Mus musculus: one gene and its partners. The protein of the gene in region 2 interacts with the protein of the main gene of each other region in a pairwise test. Links are inferred from orthologs where the notes say so. Each region holds a gene or a part of one and is shown on either strand. Other genes may lie near its edges.

Evidence for each region.
Region 1: the proteins of Fam189a2 (region 2) and Wwp1 interact in binary tests that used the Homo sapiens proteins (3 or more experiments, as listed by UniProt). The link is inferred for Mus musculus from reciprocal best matches to the Homo sapiens genes ENTREP1 and WWP1.
Region 3: the proteins of Fam189a2 (region 2) and Ubqln1 interact in a two-hybrid assay, tested with the Homo sapiens proteins (2 studies listed by BioGRID and IntAct). The link is inferred for Mus musculus from reciprocal best matches to the Homo sapiens genes ENTREP1 and UBQLN1.
Region 4: the proteins of Fam189a2 (region 2) and Bag3 interact in a two-hybrid assay, tested with the Homo sapiens proteins (2 studies listed by BioGRID and IntAct). The link is inferred for Mus musculus from reciprocal best matches to the Homo sapiens genes ENTREP1 and BAG3.
Region 5: the proteins of Fam189a2 (region 2) and Stam2 interact in a two-hybrid assay, tested with the Homo sapiens proteins (2 studies listed by BioGRID and IntAct). The two-hybrid records come from large-scale screens. The link is inferred for Mus musculus from reciprocal best matches to the Homo sapiens genes ENTREP1 and STAM2.

What each region holds. Positions count from the first base shown.
Region 1 is NC_000070.6:19,625,505-19,629,004, reverse strand, and holds part of Wwp1 (NEDD4-like E3 ubiquitin-protein ligase WWP1), read left to right. Parts: intron 1-999; coding exon 1,000-1,133; intron 1,134-1,231; coding exon 1,232-1,372; intron 1,373-3,500. UniProt on the Homo sapiens protein: E3 ubiquitin-protein ligase which accepts ubiquitin from an E2 ubiquitin-conjugating enzyme in the form of a thioester and then directly transfers the ubiquitin to targeted substrates.
Region 2 is NC_000085.6:23,979,020-23,982,519, forward strand, and holds part of Fam189a2 (protein FAM189A2), read right to left. Parts: intron 697-3,500; coding exon 567-696; intron 450-566; coding exon 371-449; intron 1-370. UniProt on the Homo sapiens protein: Functions as an activator of the E3 ubiquitin protein ligase ITCH in the ubiquitination of the CXCL12-activated CXCR4 receptor. Thereby, triggers CXCR4 endocytosis and desensitization, negatively regulating the CXCL12/CXCR4 signaling pathway.
Region 3 is NC_000079.6:58,181,154-58,184,653, forward strand, and holds part of Ubqln1 (ubiquilin-1), read right to left. Parts: intron 2,172-3,500; coding exon 2,029-2,171; intron 1-2,028. UniProt on the Homo sapiens protein: Plays an important role in the regulation of different protein degradation mechanisms and pathways including ubiquitin-proteasome system (UPS), autophagy and endoplasmic reticulum-associated protein degradation (ERAD) pathway.
Region 4 is NC_000073.6:128,544,032-128,547,481, reverse strand, and holds the end of Bag3 (BAG family molecular chaperone regulator 3), read right to left. Parts: intron 1,893-3,450; coding exon 1,086-1,892; 3' UTR 501-1,085; downstream 1-500. UniProt on the Homo sapiens protein: Co-chaperone and adapter protein that connects different classes of molecular chaperones including heat shock proteins 70 (HSP70s), e.g. HSPA1A/HSP70 or HSPA8/HSC70, and small heat shock proteins (sHSPs), e.g. HSPB8.
Region 5 is NC_000068.7:52,707,650-52,711,149, forward strand, and holds part of Stam2 (signal transducing adapter molecule 2), read right to left. Parts: intron 2,042-3,500; coding exon 1,947-2,041; intron 577-1,946; coding exon 494-576; intron 357-493; coding exon 269-356; intron 1-268.

The DNA.
Region 1 (3,500 bases), on a different chromosome or scaffold from region 2:
GTATCCTAGAGAATTTGGTAACAATTAATAGGATTCTGATATTGTAGCTTAGGTTGATAGCCTACCCCAACCTCCTGTGTGCTGGTTATAGCCACCAAGCCCAGATGAGGAAAAAGAACTGGATGAACCCCGTAATATAAGAAGTATTGGCAAATGACCTTGAATCAAAGGGAGAAGTTTGTATTGCTCACAAAAGTGGTAGAAAGTTTACTTGCAATAGGAGTATGAGAGTTGAGATGCTAGTGGTGAGCAGATGGGTAGACTACACAAATGTGCTCCCGGTTACCATTTCCTGTGTGCAGTAAGTTTAGTAAGTATTTGAGGACAAAGGAATAGCAGTTCGTAGTCATCTGAGACAGGGAAACTGAATGTCGTGAGTAAACATGCTTCTATGAGGTTGCTGGTCATAGCTAGCTAGCTTGCTATATGTACTTCTAGCATGTTCTACCACTATATAGGCAGTATAAATTCTTAATTGATTTTGTCTAGATTTGGGAGTTTGTTAGAAATACATTGGGGAGGGTTTGAAGCTATATAAGAAGATAATTTCATGATTTATTGATTTAATGTAAACAGATTAAGGGTCTGCAAATAGTTTTAGATATTATGGATTCAAAAATCATTGGTGTCTTCCTGTATTCATGCTGTATGTAGGCATGAAGACACAGGGGTCCTACAGATTAATAAAGGAATGGAACAAAGTACATGGGCTTTTTATTTCTGTGTTTAAGTTAATTACTAAAAATATTTAAAAGTGGCAGAATTTGGTAATAAAGTCTCATCATCTCTTTATAGTTTTTATGTACATTATGTTTGACCTATGAAATAAATGTTTTCATTGTAGTTTTCTATGCATTGCATAGTATGCTAATCTTCACATTTTATACCATTGAATAGTGCTTTTTAATATGTAAAGCTGCATGATTTCTATATTGTCACTATGCTATAAAGATTATTATTTTGTAAGTTTAAATAAAATGTTTTGTTTGTTTTTAACAGGCACTGTTCCATGGAAAGTTTATTGATACTGGTTTCTCTTTACCATTCTACAAGCGTATGCTAAGTAAAAAACTTACTATTAAGGATTTGGAATCTATTGATACTGAATTTTACAACTCTCTAATCTGGATAAGGTTTGAAGTTTTTTTTTGTAATAGAAGTAATTACTTGAAACCCATTCCTATACTGTGTTTATATGCACACTCACACTATTTTTTTTTTTTTTATCCAGAGATAACAATATTGAAGAATGTGGCTTAGAAATGTACTTTTCTGTAGACATGGAGATTCTGGGAAAAGTTACTTCACATGATTTAAAGTTGGGAGGTTCCAATATCCTGGTGACGGAAGAAAACAAAGATGAATATATTGGGTAGGTTGATAGAGCTGATTGAATTCATTCTGTAGAAGGTATGGGATATAATTAGAAATATCCTATATTTACACTCTTAACCTTAGTAGTTTTTATGAAACACATGGAAAACTCTCGTCAGGTTCTTTCTCCGCTGGCTCAGGTCCTTGTGCTCTGTGCTGATCCAGATCCTGCTCGAGTTTGCTCGAACAATGCATATCGTTAGTCACTTTCCCATGTGCATTCGCAATAGGCAGTCTCGCTTCTGACCAAGTCAGAAGCCATGACAACATGCTGCTGAAAGCGATTTCCAGTCTTCAAAATCTCAGAAAGAAAAGTTGTATGTTCTCCTAGCCTATTACACATATACATATACAATGCAATGTGTGTGTGTGTGTGTGTGTGTGTGTGTGTGTGTAAAAGTGCACTTCGGGATAGTATAACCTGAAGAAGAGAACAGGAAAGAGTAACTTATCAGAGATGATAGTGAAAGACTGAATGAATGTAGGTAACTGAAACTTGATTCATAAAAGAGGATATAAAGTATATTTTTTCTAGTTTTAAATCTGCCATTTTTTGGTGATGGATAAATGCATGCAAATATTCAATAGTGAAAATCCAGTGTGAAGCTTCACAGCTTCAGAATGTTTATAACGATCAATAGATGTGGGGTCTGGTTAATTTTGGTGTATGAATTTTTTATTTTTAAGTTCTTTATGATAAAAATTTAACGTAAAGTATTTTGCAAAGGCGATGTAGCCTCCTCGTTTACAGATGAAGGGACTGAAGCTATGCCAGGAATGGGCAGAATTGTGTCTGGGAACTCCCCTTTCACTGACATTTCATCCCACACTACTCTTGAAAAGTTTTAGTATTTATTTATTTTGGCTTTGCAAGAAAGGGTTCTCTATGTAGCTTTGGCTGTTGTGGTATTTGTTCTATAGACCAACCCAGACTCAAAATCAGAGACCCACCTACGTTTGCTGGGAATAAAGGTGTGTACCAACACACACAGCCCACAATCCCAATTTTTAGCTTGTACATAATAAATATTTTATTGGCATCTATTCAGTATGTATGCTGCTGGGTTGTACAAAGAAGTTTTAAGTAACCATGGGCTTTGAGTATGTTCAGTCTTGCATTTCCTCCCCCTAGCCTTACTGCCTTCAGCTACTCTTATCCTTTCCCAGTTCGTTTTCTATTTTCCTGTCACAGGACAGCTAGAAAATTGGCTCAGTAGTTAAGAGCATTTGCTGCTCCTGTGTACTAAACTCCAGTTTGGTTCCCAGAACCTACATGGTAGCGCGCAACCATTTGTAACTCTAGTTCCAGATCCGACTCTGTCCTCTGCAGGCACCAGGCATTCACATGGTACATATAACATATGTGCAGGCAAATATTCATCCACTTAAAATAAGAACACATCTTTGAAGAAAAAAGTAACGAATATATACCTTTCTGAAAAAAGGGAAGCATGAAACCTTTGCTTTTCTGTCTGGTTTATTTCACTAAACATAATCATTTCTAACTTTACGCATTTTCATCAAGTTGAGATTATAAATATAATTAGATTATTTCTCTCTTCTTATCCCTCCCTTCAAGCCCTCTCCCATGTACCTCTGCTCTCCTTCAAATTCATGGACCCATGCTTTCATTAACTGTTGTTACATGTTTATATGTATATGCGTATATATTCCTAAATATAACCTATTCAGTCTGTATGATGTTAATTGTATGCATATTTCCATGGCTGTATGGTATTTGGTAAGCAATTAGTCCTCTTTCCTGTTTTTGTCTTTTAGTAGTTACTATAGAAGCAAGCCAGATTACATGCTCAGCGGCAGTGTGTAAGGATGCTCTTTTCTCTGCTTCCTTGCTAGCATTTGTTGTTTTCTCTTTGTTAGCAACTCTGGGGTAAGATGGAATCTCTGTGTAGTGTTAATTTGCATTTCTGTGATGACTAGTGATGTTGAACATTGTTGTTTTTGTTTTTGTTTTTTTTTCCATTTGTTCCTCATCTTTCAAGAACTGCCCATTCATTAGACGAAAGTCAAGTGGCTTTTTAACTCTAGGGCCTGTATTTTATCAAATTGATTCATGTCTCTGTTTTTAGCCAGGCCATTTATTTTTCTGACTGTGTTTCTGTATA
Region 2 (3,500 bases):
TCTTAATTCTAGCATTAAAACCTTTGGTTACAAATGACAATGTGAATACTCACTGGGAAACTCACGTTCGTTCGAAGGAATCCTGCTCATTTCAACAGATCAAGGAAATGGATTGGGAGCCAGGGGAATAACGAGTTAACCTGCACTCTAGCCCATGGGTTCCTGGGGATAGTCTGATCATTCATGAAAAAGTTTGAAGTAGGTCTCTTTATTTCAGTGTGTTTTTTTCTTTTTTCCTGTTAACATTTTAGATCTCACTTCTAAGCCCTAAGAGTTTGAATACCTTACCTCCAGCAAAACACTAGTCAGATCATTCTGCCATGTTCTCCTCTATTGACCTATGGCCTGGCGTAGGGAAGGTGTGTGTTACCTTGAGTTATCTGCGTGCAAACTGGCTCTGCTGGGCTCGCAGCAGTTTCTGGTCCTTCTGGCATTTGGAATGAAGACTCCTGCATCAGAAAGGAAGGGAGAAGGAGGGGTCATTGTTTTTGGTTTTTGATCCTCAGAGGACCCCCGTAAACCCCTTCAGGTTATGTTAGAGCATATACTCTGGGGAGTAGGCATACCTGCTCCTGGTCAGTCTGGCTCACTACAGCTTCGTATGGAGGTGGGGGGTCCAGAGGACAGAACACTTCCACACCCTTGATGCGTGCTCCATAGATATGGGGCAGTGGGATGACATCAGAACCAACCATCCTAGAAAAAGCACCGGGTGTCAGGAGGTGCGCTCTGTACACTGGCCCTCCTACAGCAGCAGACCCTGGACCCTCTGCCTTTGCCTTTAAATTGGGAGTGGCCTGGACCTAGAGGAAAGACACTCACAGAAGCTCAGCCAAAGAGGAATAACTATTCAAGCTATCCTTAGGCAAATACCCAGGGGGTCCTTTAGAAATGACAGTGTATAAAACGTAATGCCCTTTTTTCCTTTTAGTACAGCAGTGTCCATGGGGATGGAGAGCATGGGTGGCTGCCAGGCTCTGAGGGAGGGGCTAGGGAGGGGTTGCTTAGTGTTTATGGACTTGGCAGTTGCTTACGGGAGAGGATAATGCTTTGCAGAGAGTTAGAGGTGATGGTTGCACAATGAGGTGGATATACAAAATACCACTGAAGCATATCGCTAACAACAGCCAAGGCAACTAAGGGTAAGGAGAATCTTGGTGCCCTCCTGCAGTCGTTCACAGAAAAAGCTTCTTGCCTCGGTTTCCTTCACGTCTGATTCGTGAGAGAAATTCACTGTTGGATAACTTTTTTTAAAAGGGGAAATTAATTTCAAACAAAAGGTGAGCATTGCCCCCAGCTCCAAGACAAAACAGGAGCTAGCAGAAAGGATCATAGAGTGACTCGCACATGCTCCTCAGGTCACTCCCTGACTAATGATGCACTGGGCCAGGTGGGTGGCACTGGATAAAATTCAGAAACAAGAGTCCTAGTAAGAACAAAGAAAGAGGTGGGTTAACATTCTATTTTTCTCTGAACTTGATGTGACAAACCTGGCTGAGTTGACAAAAAAGATCTGCGTCCATTTGGAATATTGATACCTCACTCCCAACAACAAAGCTATAGCTAACCGATAGTTTCAGCAGAGAAACTTTAAAAGAGTCTCGCTATTACCAAGATGCAGAGAGGCTGACTTGACAGTTACTCTGTCATGTGACTGGGACTGAAGAACCAGCTGCTGTTTTCCTGGTTAAAGCTAACTTCTCCTGGGGCTCCTCTTCCTCCCTCAACCATTCCTGCTGATGTCAGCTATTTCTACTCTGTTCTTCACACACACCCACTTCTGTTGCTCCACCACGGGATATGTGGGGTTCCTGAGACTGTACCATCTGCCACACTCAGCAACATAAGTATATGATGTCTCTGCCTTAGCACAGAACTACTCAATTATACTCCTCCTTTCCAAATTGCCTTTCTCCCAACCAACGTTAGATGCTTTCCCTTTTCAAGTACTTCTTAAGTAATAGTTTTTGTTGTTGTTAGAGAGGGTTTGATGTCCCAGTGCTTACAGATAAGCACCAGAAAACCAGACATTTTAAACATGAAAGGTTGTCTCTTCAAAGGAACTGATGCAGAACCCGTTTTTCCCACCGAGAAGGCTAGAAATGAATTTGGTTAGTAGCCTGGATGCCTTCTGCACTATCTGTATGACCACACCTGATCCTCCTCCAAGTCCTTAAGATAACATATGTAGTCTGTCTATAAATCCCAGTTTCCAGGGCTAAAGAGATGACTCATGGGTTAAGAGCACTGCCTGTTCTTTCAGAGGTTCTGAGTTCAATTTCCAGTAATCACATGGTATCCCAGAATCATCTACAATGAAATCCAATGCCCTCTTCTACCATGTAGGCAGACACGCAGATAGAGCACTTACATGCATAGACTACATAAATAAACTTTAACAAAAGAACCCATCTTTATGGAAGAAGTGGCACATACGTTAAGAGTTTCAATGCAATTCAATCCCTTAAGCTTTATTGTATACACAGAATTATGTTACACCAGAAAACTTTTCTATATTGTGCTAAACTTAAACCAAAAAACTTAAACTAAACTTGAACCAACACTGGCTACTGAGTCATATTGAACAGGACTTCTTTTTTGGCTCATGAGGATCTACAGTCTGATGGCCATAGTGTTTCCAGAGACAACACACACACACACACACATTGTTGTTGTTGTTGTTGTTGTTGTGTTGTTGTTGTTGTTGTTTTAACTGTGGTTGTAGGACCCTTGACAGAAAAATTAAAAGGAAAACCAAACTCACAAGATTCCCTGCCAGTATTTATCGCATATAATAAAAAGAAGAAAAGACATTAGAAAACACAGAACTGAAATTTTAAAGTAATTAAAAAAGCAAAAGGTAAAACAAAACAGAGAACCCTGTGCTCAGTAGGTACTAGATGACCCATAGCAATGTCTCTTCTTTAAAAAAAAATAAAATAAAATTCTCTTCTTAGAATATGAAGAAAAGAAAAGAGGGAAGCTTACAGATAAAAAGACAGACCCAAGGCCAGATGCATCTAAGCGACTGAAGGGGAGAGGCAGAAACTGGATTTAAAACTCATCTTATTTCTTGTGCCCATTTATGCTCCCCTGAAAGGATAGAGGCGAGGTTTTATACTGGCACATGACTTTGGATGTTCCCCAGAGTGGCTGTGTAAAGTGTCAAGCATCCAGTGCACAAAGAAGTCCCATGAAAACACTCTCCCTGGTCTAGAGGGTTCCTGTCAAAGCTGCCCTAAGTAGATATTCTCCATAGAACAAGGACTCAGGCATGGATTTCGTTCCAACTCTCCTACCTAGCTCATGCTGTTTAAAAACTCCCACTGCTGAGTGACTCCAAAGGACTAGACCCTTCCTAGATTTAGTGGGAGAGTCCTGACCAATGAACATCACAGCTGTCTGAATCAGAGAGGCCAACTTTCTCCAGATATGGTGAGGCTTCAGTCTTTAATCAACACCCATGAGTCATCTTTCTAGCATTTCTAAACCCTGCCTTT
Region 3 (3,500 bases), on a different chromosome or scaffold from region 2:
CTTTCAACGAGAATGGTGGGTGATGGATGACATGCAGTGCCCTAAAAAAATAAAAGCAATTGTTTTGTCTCCTTTTCCTTGAACAAAGGTGTGAATTTCTGCCTTTGAAAAGAAAAAACCTGGGAGTGCCAGGCTCTCAGGAAGATATGCTTTCTGCTACACTACAGAGTAAAAGAAACATCAATATGTAACAGCTTAAACATGGCTTGCTTAGAAACTTCAACACACAAACAGCAAGCAGAGAGAACACCCAGGTCTAAGACCATTGGATCTGCCTGCCCACCACTAACAGTTGCTGTTAGGTCCAGAATAACCACAAAGCAGCAATCAACTTGTCAGAGAAATGGAGCTGCTAGGTGAAAACCAGTCCAAACTAGCACCAGCCATCCTCAGGGAAGTGCTTAGATACCTAAGCCGCAGAGAGGTAAATGAGAAAGAACACCGAGATTAACTAACGTCTGGCTTCCACTTCACTAGCACCACAGTAAAAACGGGGGACACCTAGCCGTCAACGTATGACCAGTATTAACATGATGTGACTGCCTGGGGTGAGACCGTCATGCACAATAAGCAAACCAGAAACTACAAGGTTCAAAAAAGACAAATTGCATATTGCTTCCCAAAGATTACTGATGGCCCCTTTACCTGTCCAAAGTCTGGGGAGGAAATGATCTTTGCCCTCAATTAGGCAACCATACTAAATAACAACTGTATGTAAATCCTGTCTTAAAAAAAAAACAACTTCTCCCATCCCTCCTTCAAAGTGGATTATTTAATTTCAAAGCAGGAAACAGTTGGTGTCTTATGGATACAGAGTGTACTTTAGAGTAAGCAGCAAATTACCAGAACCTGCTCCAGGCCAGGGACGCCTCTTTTTAAGTCTTCCGGGCAAATGCTCGTTTGTTACGAGGCTGTTAATCAGTTACCACATTTACTTTCATCTTAAATTACTCAACTAGTATAGAAAAAGCTTGTCTCACACACACACTCACACATACACACCTTTTTATTTATCATACTTATTATATTTTCCTCACTTACCTGAACCTCCATTCCACAATTCAGTTTCTACATTTAACATAATTAAATATTTAAGTTGAAAAGAATACCCACTATGAACGTGAGCAGCGGCATCAGAGCACACTGTAAGCTGGGAAGGACTCTATCATAAGGGCATCACCTTGACTGCCAGGGTTTTGCTTTACTGCTAGCAGACAACAGCTGCGAAGCACCCAGGTCCCCTACAGACAAGAGTGTGCTCACTAACGAGGAACCAAGGATAAGGCACACACTCAGGGTTAACTGAATACATACTTGAAAATATAGGTCACTTCACACACCTCCACATCTCAGGGACCCAAGTGACAAAAATGCTTAGCACGCATTAACATCAAGCACTTAATTAATAAATTCACAAAACCACACAACAACCCATACCATGCACGTTTTGAGATTAACATTATCCAGATGCATTGTCCTTTAAGTATTTGTTGTTACATAAGTCATCACCAAGGACCGACCCTACCTCAACGACATCTGCTATACCCTTGTAGCAGTGTGGCTGCAGGATTTTGAAAATAAAAACCATTTCATAATGAAAGAAGAGAAGCTTTTAAACTTAACAGAGTGCTGTAAGCACCCAGAGCACACTGTAAGCTACATTCCTCCAGCAGTGACCACGTGGGTGCTCACTGTACTCCCTCCAGCTGTTCAGGCACAGGAAGGGTGCTGCTGCTCCATCTCCATCCACAACCACCACCCCGAGAGCTAGCACCAAACACCACACTGGGGAGCAGCAGTGATCAGAGCAGGTTCCCTAAAAATGCCTGGTTTTGTTTTTAAAAGTACATCTCATCAACAAATGGCAGACATGAGATTGTTTCAAGTATATCTGAACTAAAACTGCCCCCAAAGCTGGAGGTGCAGTGTCCACATCTCTAGTGTTCTGAGAGAGCACAAGCCAACGTGCGGAGAGGATACCACAGGCCTGTTTAGTTCAGAACACTCTCAGCACAGCCACAAGCTCACCTGCGCAGCAAGGTCGGGGTTCTGGCTCAGGGACTGCAGCATGCTCCTCATGTATGGGGCGGACAGCATGTTCTGCATGAGCTGTGGGTTCTCAGTTATCTGCTGCAGCAGGCTCTGCATTCCGGGGGTGTTGAACATACTAGCTAAAAATTTATTTAAAAACAAAACAAAAAAAACAAACAAACAAACAGATTAAGACACACATTTATGTTTTAAGACACAGTATATATTGTGACTTTACATCCCCTTCTCCACACTTAGTGTTCATAGCTAAATAAAGTTGCTAACCAGTACTAGTTACTAAGCTCTATTTTCAGATCAACCTTTACTGTACTTGGTTATGGCTCCAAGGCACAAGAATTCTGACAGTGACACTTCAGAGGCCCAAAAAGAGCAAGTTGGCTTACTTCAATAAAGAGAGAAGAGTTCTGACACAGTACTGGGGGGGAAATGCCAGTGTAATGTTAACCAACTATTTAATTCTTCATTTCATTCTGGATTCTGAACTAGTGCCCCTTTATCACTTAAGCGTCTCCATTCATCTTTCTAATTTGCTGTGAGTCCCGTGTTTGTGATGTTCCTATATTTTGAAGTTTCAAGTTAGCTTTTCCACACTCTAAAGTTTAAAAATATCTTAAGACAATTTGGCAAGCTTCAGCCTACAAAAGCAATCTGGCTCTCACAATTTGTTTTTATATAGCCCAAAAGTGAATATTGTTTTTACAGTTAAGAGAAAACTCTCTACAAATAAATATTTATAGTAACTGGAGACTACTGAAACCCAATGCCCAGGGACATGAGTATTGCTTTGCTGATCCCACTGCTGGGCGCTTTCCTATCAGATAGGCACAGGAGCTCTGAACCCAGCACCAAGGGAGCCACCCTGCTTCCTTCATACGGCTTTGCTGTCACTCCAGCATCTTGGTTTTTTTAATTACAAGTGCAAATTAATCATGTAAGAAGTAAAATAAGAGAAGCAAACTGTTAATACTGTGGGGTCAAGGCACAGCAGACCGTGAATTACCTTACCAAATGAAATGCCAAACCCTGGTACATATCAAAGACTACAAGACGCATAAACACTGCTGACTGGACATTCATTACAACATCCAACCAGGCACACAGCACTCAGAAGGCTGAGGCAGAATGCCAAGTTGCAAGCTAGTCTGGGGTTCAAAATGAAACCCTGTCTCAAAAAAAATGGAGCAGGACCAAGATGATGGCTCACAGTAGTTGGTTGCTATTCCAGAGGACTCAGGTTCAAGTCCCAGGACCCACATGACAACTCACAACCACCTATTAACGCCAGTGCTAGATGCAAATCCCTTTTCAGGCCTCCTCAGGCACTGCAATGCACACAGTTCAGACACACATGGCAGGCAAATACCCACACGGATATTGAAGAGGCATATGTGGAGAACAGATGTTTTTCTTAGAATTAAGAACAGTGGGGCCGGGCGTGGTGGCGCACG
Region 4 (3,450 bases), on a different chromosome or scaffold from region 2:
GCATTTGGCAGTTGACAGGGTGGGATGAAGAAGGGGCACACAGCAAGCATATTCCTCTACCTAAGCCCACAGTCCTGAGTCCTCCTGTGCCCTAGATAAGAACTGCCTTATAAATGTGTCTACCATTTGACTAAAGTCAGGGACAATCTTTTGCTGTGTTTTCATGTGTACACAAACCTGTATGAAGAGGCTGAGGCCAATGTGGGCTGTCACCCTCAATTGCTCTCTACCTCATTGTTTGAGACAAGAGCACTCTCACTGAGCCCGTTGGTAGGCCTGTTATTTGTGCCCAGCTTTTTTTTTTTTTTTTTTTTGAGACAGGGTTTCTCTGTATAGCTCTGGCTGTCCTGGAACTCACTTTGTAGACCAGACTGGCCTCGAACTCAGAAATCCCCCTGCCTCTGCCTCCTGAGTGCTTATATGGGATCCTCGCTTCACCCACTGGAATAACCTTGATGCCATCTGTCACTCTTCAAACTTTTAGAAACCACAAAAAAACATTTTGAGAGTTATATAATCACTTTATTTTCCATCCCCCCTCAAATGTAACAACATTAAAGCCATTCCAACATATAGCTATTCCTATGGCTCCTTGCATAGCTCATATCTAGCTGAAGTTAGATATTTCAGTAACGAGATGAAGGTTATCTCATCAAAATGACAACATGTCTCAAAAACAGGTTCTCTATTCCTGTAACTCTCTTCCTACCCCTCAAAACTTAAAACCCCTTCAGTCCAAGGCTAACAGGAAGATAGCCCACAGCCACGGCTAAATCATTGCACCCAGATAGCCCACAGCCACGGCTAAATCATTGTACCCAGATAGCCCACAGCCATGGCTAAATCATTGCACCCATGCACAGAAAGGGGTCCCAGACAACCAGAGGGGTTAGGGTTAGACTTCTGGAACAGGCAACTTATTATTTATACAGAATAGACTATGGAAGAAAAGCCCCCTTTGTTAGTGTTTTACCTCCACCCCAAGTTACTGCATACCAAGCGGCTATGAATAATGGCAGCCAGCTGACTGCAAGTCCCGCAGTGCATGCAACTTAAAAGTCTCTACAGCATGGTCCCAGGGGACACTAGGGAGCCACCAGGTTGCCAGCTGAGTCTGCTGGGTTGCTGGGATTTGGAGGTGTGGCTGCTTTGGCTTCTAGCTGTTGGCTTTCAGTTTGTGGATCTTTGTTTTCAGGACCTTTCTTATCCTTGTCGGCTACCACGGCACCCATGATTTCCTGGAGTGGCTGCTCGGCCTCAAGGTTGCTGGGCTGGAGTTCATAGACTTGTACTTGACCTGGGACATCAATTGCTTTCTGCTCAAGTTTTTCCAAGATGGTCTGAACCTTCCTGACGCCATCTCTCCTGGCCTGCCGCACATCAGCTCGTCCTTCAGGGTCTACGGAATCCAGGGCCAGCAGCTCTTTGGTCAAATACTCTTCGATCATCAGGTATTTTTTATCAGTCTTCTTGCCTTCAAAGCTGTCTACAGCCTGCTCCAGCCCTTGTACCTTCTCCAGGATGGCTTCCACTTTCAGCACACCTGGATGCTTAGGGGGTGTTTCGGCTTCTCCCGATTTGGGGGCTGCAGGTTCTGCAGGGGCAGGGCTGGGGGCCGCCTTCTGTTCTGCAGCCACATTCTTGGGGGGAGAAGGGACAGCCGAAGGAGCGGGGCTGGGAGAAGGACAAGGAATTGGAGCAGAGGAGACCTTTACTTCTACCTTTTCAGCAGGAGGAGGTGACTTCTGGGAAACAGGCTTAGAGTCTGCCTCCCTTCGGATCACTTGGATGGGGATGTGTCCAGGAGGGAGGTCTGGTCCGGCTGGGCCTGGCTTACTTTCTGGTTTGTTTTCGGGTTGGGTAACAGGTGGAGGCTCTCGATGGGTCATGGGCTGTTGAGAAAAAGAGGACATCAACTTTTAATAACTGTCTAAAGCAATAATTCGTGGTTAATAGCAGGCGAAGAAATAAAAAAGAAATAAAAGCAAGAAAGCTGGAAATAACTTTTTTTTTTTTTGGTATGTTTGCAGGATCTTGTGCCCCATGTCCACATGGCCCTCAGGGGACAACCTGCAGAGATTTCTACCCTTCCTCTATGTGGGTTCTGGGAACTGAACTCAGGCTGCCAGGCTTGCAAGCTCTTTATCCACAGAGCTTAGAAAATGATGTTCATAAAAAAAAAAGATTTAAAAATTTTTTATTTATGTATATGTGATCTGTGTGTATGTTATCTATCCTTGGAAGTCAGAAGAGGGAGTCAGATATCCTGGAACTGAAGCTCCAAGAAACTATGAGGCACCCACACAGGCGCTGGGAACCAAACTTAATCAAGAGCTGAGCCATTTCTCTATGCCCATAATGAGATCTTTTTAAAGGCAGCCAATAGCTGAAATGCAAACTGGATGTTGATTATGAATGCGACCAAATTATCTGCTAAGCCTCCACTGATTGGCTCGCTACCTGCTTGTCTTCTGTAGAGAGGTGACAGCCTTACAGACAAGGAAAAGTACGCCACTGTAATTTTCAAAAATGAAACAGCATGCTGGCTCTCAGTAGGGTTTGCTCAGAGCAATCTCTGACTGACTGCATTTCAGCCCTGGGCCAGAGATGCTGCCTCGGGTCTTGCTGTATAAGGTCTCAGCTCCCAGGTGCCCTTTCAAGGTGACCTGTAACAGCCTAGTGGTTTCTGCTCAGACCAGTTTGTTGTTTGTTTTTTGAAAATAAGCTAGATGCTTGAAATAGTTAACCCTGGAGGAATTCAGGCCCTGCATATTGATGCAATGCCGTGATATAATTGATGCCTTACCCTGGCATTTGGCTGCACAGCCCTTCCAGGGACTGGAGATCAAGGTCATATTTTAAAATATCAACTATGCTCCAAACTGGAACCGAATAGGGCTCTTCTAGCACTGAATGAATACTTAGACTCCAAAACCCTTACAATGCCCCAGCTTCATTAACTGGGAGGAAATGTTGCGCTACTTCATCCCAAGTAAAAGTATTAATTCTATTTTAATGGTCAGATAAGTTAAATCCTTGAAAGTTCTAAAAAAAAAAAAAAGGTTCTTTGAACAAGATGTAAAAGAAAGGCTACCTTGATCAAGGTCAATAGAGGTCGAACTAGGACTAAATACTCCCTCACTGACTACAGGAAACATGGGCAGCCCTGTCCTGGGATTACAAAATCCAAGGATGGACCCTGAGTGGGTGGCTATCTCACTGGCGTGCTGTTTCCACCAAACGCTTTCTGCCCAGCATCATCAGCCCTCACTCCTCACCAGGCCTCTCGGCTGCCCTCCCACTGTGGGTTTTAAAATCAATGGATGGCTGTGTGAGAGTAAACTTAGGAAAAGGATGTCCCCTGCTCTTCAGAAATGTCAAGGTCATGAAAGCATTAAAAGGCTGAGGGACCATGCCAGAGACTAAAGAGAAGTGACATCTAAAGTCAGT
Region 5 (3,500 bases), on a different chromosome or scaffold from region 2:
AAATACAAAGACTGCTTTTGTGAAATGGATATAGGCTGTGACAATATCTTCCAACTGACTTTTCTATTATTTTACTACACAAGTCTGTTTCTCACAAGAATTTCAAATCTCAAAAAGCAAACAGGAAGCAGAAAAAAACTTCAAAATACCATAAACAGGTAATCTATATGTTAAAACACCATAAACAGGAAATCTATAAGTTAAAACACTATAAACAGGTAATATATACTTTAAGCAACATTAAGGTGAGTTCAACATTAACTAATACCTTCCAAGTCCAAGAGGTCTTGGGAGTCGGGTTTTGACTCTTTTGGATCTATGCTCTGGAGAATCTGCAGGGCTCTATCCATTTTACCCTAGGAAGAAAACAGGAGATGCTGAGAAGTCTGAAGAGTTAACCACGATGAATGGAAAAGCACTGTGCCCACATACTCCAAAAAGATAGCATTATTTTTAAAACATCTTGGTAGTTTATTAAACAAAAGGTCGATACCTCATCTATATAAACAGGCTCAGGTTCTGATTTCTTAATTTCCTCCACATCATCATCAATTACATTCAATTTGTCCACCGTTGCTACAGAAACAAAATAAGTTTTAGGTTTTCAACATTACAATTTAGTCATTAAATTTCTAAGTGGTCTATTATTATCCATAGGAGAAAAGTAGAAGCTCCCTAGTCGCCACACTTCATAATCAATATATTACACACAGTCGTTCATTTACGCCACCATATCTACTCAGCACGCACAGTGTGCCAAACCTCCTTCCCTCTGGTGCTTAGATTCGTGCAGGGAGTGAACAGAATCTTCTGGGGTTGGTGGACCCCACAGTCAAGTGGGACAGAGCAGTATCCACGGGCTCTGTCACTACAGCTACTTTCATGAAAACTGTTACTGCTGAGATGAGTAAATATACAAGCGAATAGATGTTTATGACTAAGCCAGTTTCTCTTATAACAGTGTTCCATCTATACTCTGACCTATATTTATAAATAAAAAAAAAAAACTCAACCTGTATTTCCTATTTGAACAAAATATAGACCCAACTCAATCTAACTCTGAGAGTTAAAATAGTATAAATTACAACAAAAAAGTATTTCATAAAGAGAATGTTTTAAAATAATTTATAAATACGCATATCTGAAAACTACTTAGTACAAGTTCCCTGGAACACTGTTAGAATGTACCTAATTTTAACTAAATTTTGATGGAAACAAAATTACTATAAAAAACAATGTATCTAAAGGACTATTTGGCTAACTTTGAATTAATTACATGTAAAGAAAGCTCAACAAGACACAGAGATACAGTTAGAGTCAAGACACCTTTCATGCAGAGCATGGTGGCACATACCTTTAATTTCAGCACTGAGAGGCACAAGCAGTTGGATCTCTGTGAGTTCAAGGCCAGCCTGATCTACAAAGAGAATCCAGGACAGCTAGGACTCTGTTACACAGAGAAACTGTCCCAAAAAACAAAACATAAAGAGTACCTTTTACCATTTAAAATGTTACTGAAGAGAGGCTGGCATCTAACCTAGGGCACTGCACAGGCTAGGAAATCATTTTACTAGACTATAGGCCAGTCTCTTCCAACTATGCTAAGAGGAAAATCACTGAATAGGATGTTTTCTATGTTTTGTAAAGTTATCTGAAAAGTTCCCAAGGTTCCTATCAACTAAGAAAGCCAAAGTAGATTGTTTTTTGTTGTTGTTGTTTTGGGTTTTGTTTGTTTGTTTGTTTTTTTGGTCCTTGCTGGCCAGAAACTCACTGTGTGAGTCAGGAACTCAGACATCTGCCTGCCTCTGCCTCCCAAGGGCTGGGATTAAAGGTGTGTGCTGCCACGCCCAGTCCCACCTACTCTCAGAAGTCAATAATAAACTCAAAGGAAGATAACTTCAGTAGACTGGAGCTTCTTTGGGAAACTAAAGCCTTTGCTACGTTACCTGTCTCAACCTCTGTGCTTAAGTCAGTCGTTACAAAGTTGGAGGGGAAGAGTCCTGTTCCTCTGTGATTTTCTCCTTGCCACCAGTTGGCGTCACTGAAAACAGCATGAGAAAGGTCATTTGTTATCCTCCATCCTGTCGACAGAAAACTGAACACAGCTACTGGACTTTCCCAGTTGTTCCCATCCAGCTATACATAAGAATTGTTTTCCTTGGCCAGACACAGTGGGATAGACCTGTAATCCTAACACTGGAAAGCCAGAAATGCTTTTTTCTTAAATTAATATATTTATAATTAAATCAGTGAAAAGATAGTCAAAGAAAATCTATATCCTCATACCTACATTTTGAAGCAATTATCAGTGACTAAACCCCAAGCCCAAATCCATCCTTCCACGCTACATCCATCCCAACTAAAGCAGCTCCCTTCCCAGCCTCCTTGCCACCTTTCACACAAGGACAACTGAACTGACACCTGTATGGAGACGTGTTACCCGGGCAGAGCGTACAGTTTCATGATGCTACTCATCTTTAAAGTTCCATCCCAAGTGCCTATGCACTTAGTCCAGTCATTTCTGTGAAGGTGAACTCCTGACAGCTCATTCCAGGTCACTCCCAGTCTCCCAACACTACAAGGACTGAAGAGTACAGAGGTGGTGGGAGATGCCCTTGGGAGGCAGAAGCAGGTGGATCTCTGAGTGGGGCCAGCCTGGTCTACAGAGTGAGCTCTAGCACAGCCAGGGCTACACAGAGAATCCCTGTCTCGGGAAAAAAACAAATAAACAAGACTGACTAGTAACCACTCTGGGTTAGAAAGCCCACAAGCAACAGCTGCTCTAGGTTGTTCAAGGCCGTGACCTGCAGGCTAGGTGTGTTCACACGTCTATAGTTCTTAGTACTTGGAAAGAACTGCACAGCCACGGGTTCAAGACCAGTCTGGAGAAAAAGGCCAAACAATGAAACTATCTCTGAAAAGGACTGAGGGATGGGGCTGGGGAAGGATGGACACACAGACAAAACTACTTGCTGCTCACATGTTTATTAGAAAGACTGGTAGCTCACACTCCTTCTTCCCCAAGGAGGATGGGGCAGTCATTTTCCCCACACTTGATAACTGCCCATACCAACATCTGATGCCAGAAAGAAGGCGAGCCAGGCGTGCTTCAGCAAGCTCATCCGCACTCTCCAGGGCCCACTAGTGCTACACTGCCTCTTCCACAGACTGACTTTTCTTTTTCTTCTTTGAGACAGTTTCTCTGTGTAACTTTGGCTGCACTGGAACTTGCTTTGTAAACCGCTTGTTCTTTTTTTTTAAAGATTTATTTATTTTTATATGAGTACATCGTAGCTGTCTTCAGACACACCAGAAGAAGGCATCAGACCCCATTACAAATGGTTGTGAGCCACCATGTGGTTGGCTGAGAAATGAATTCAAGACCACTGGAAGAGCAGTCAGTGCTCTTATCCACTGAGCCATCTCTCCAGCCCCAAACTGCTTATTCTTATCTTTGCCTGTTAGTTTTTCCTACTGGACCACAGGTATTTGTTTTTTCA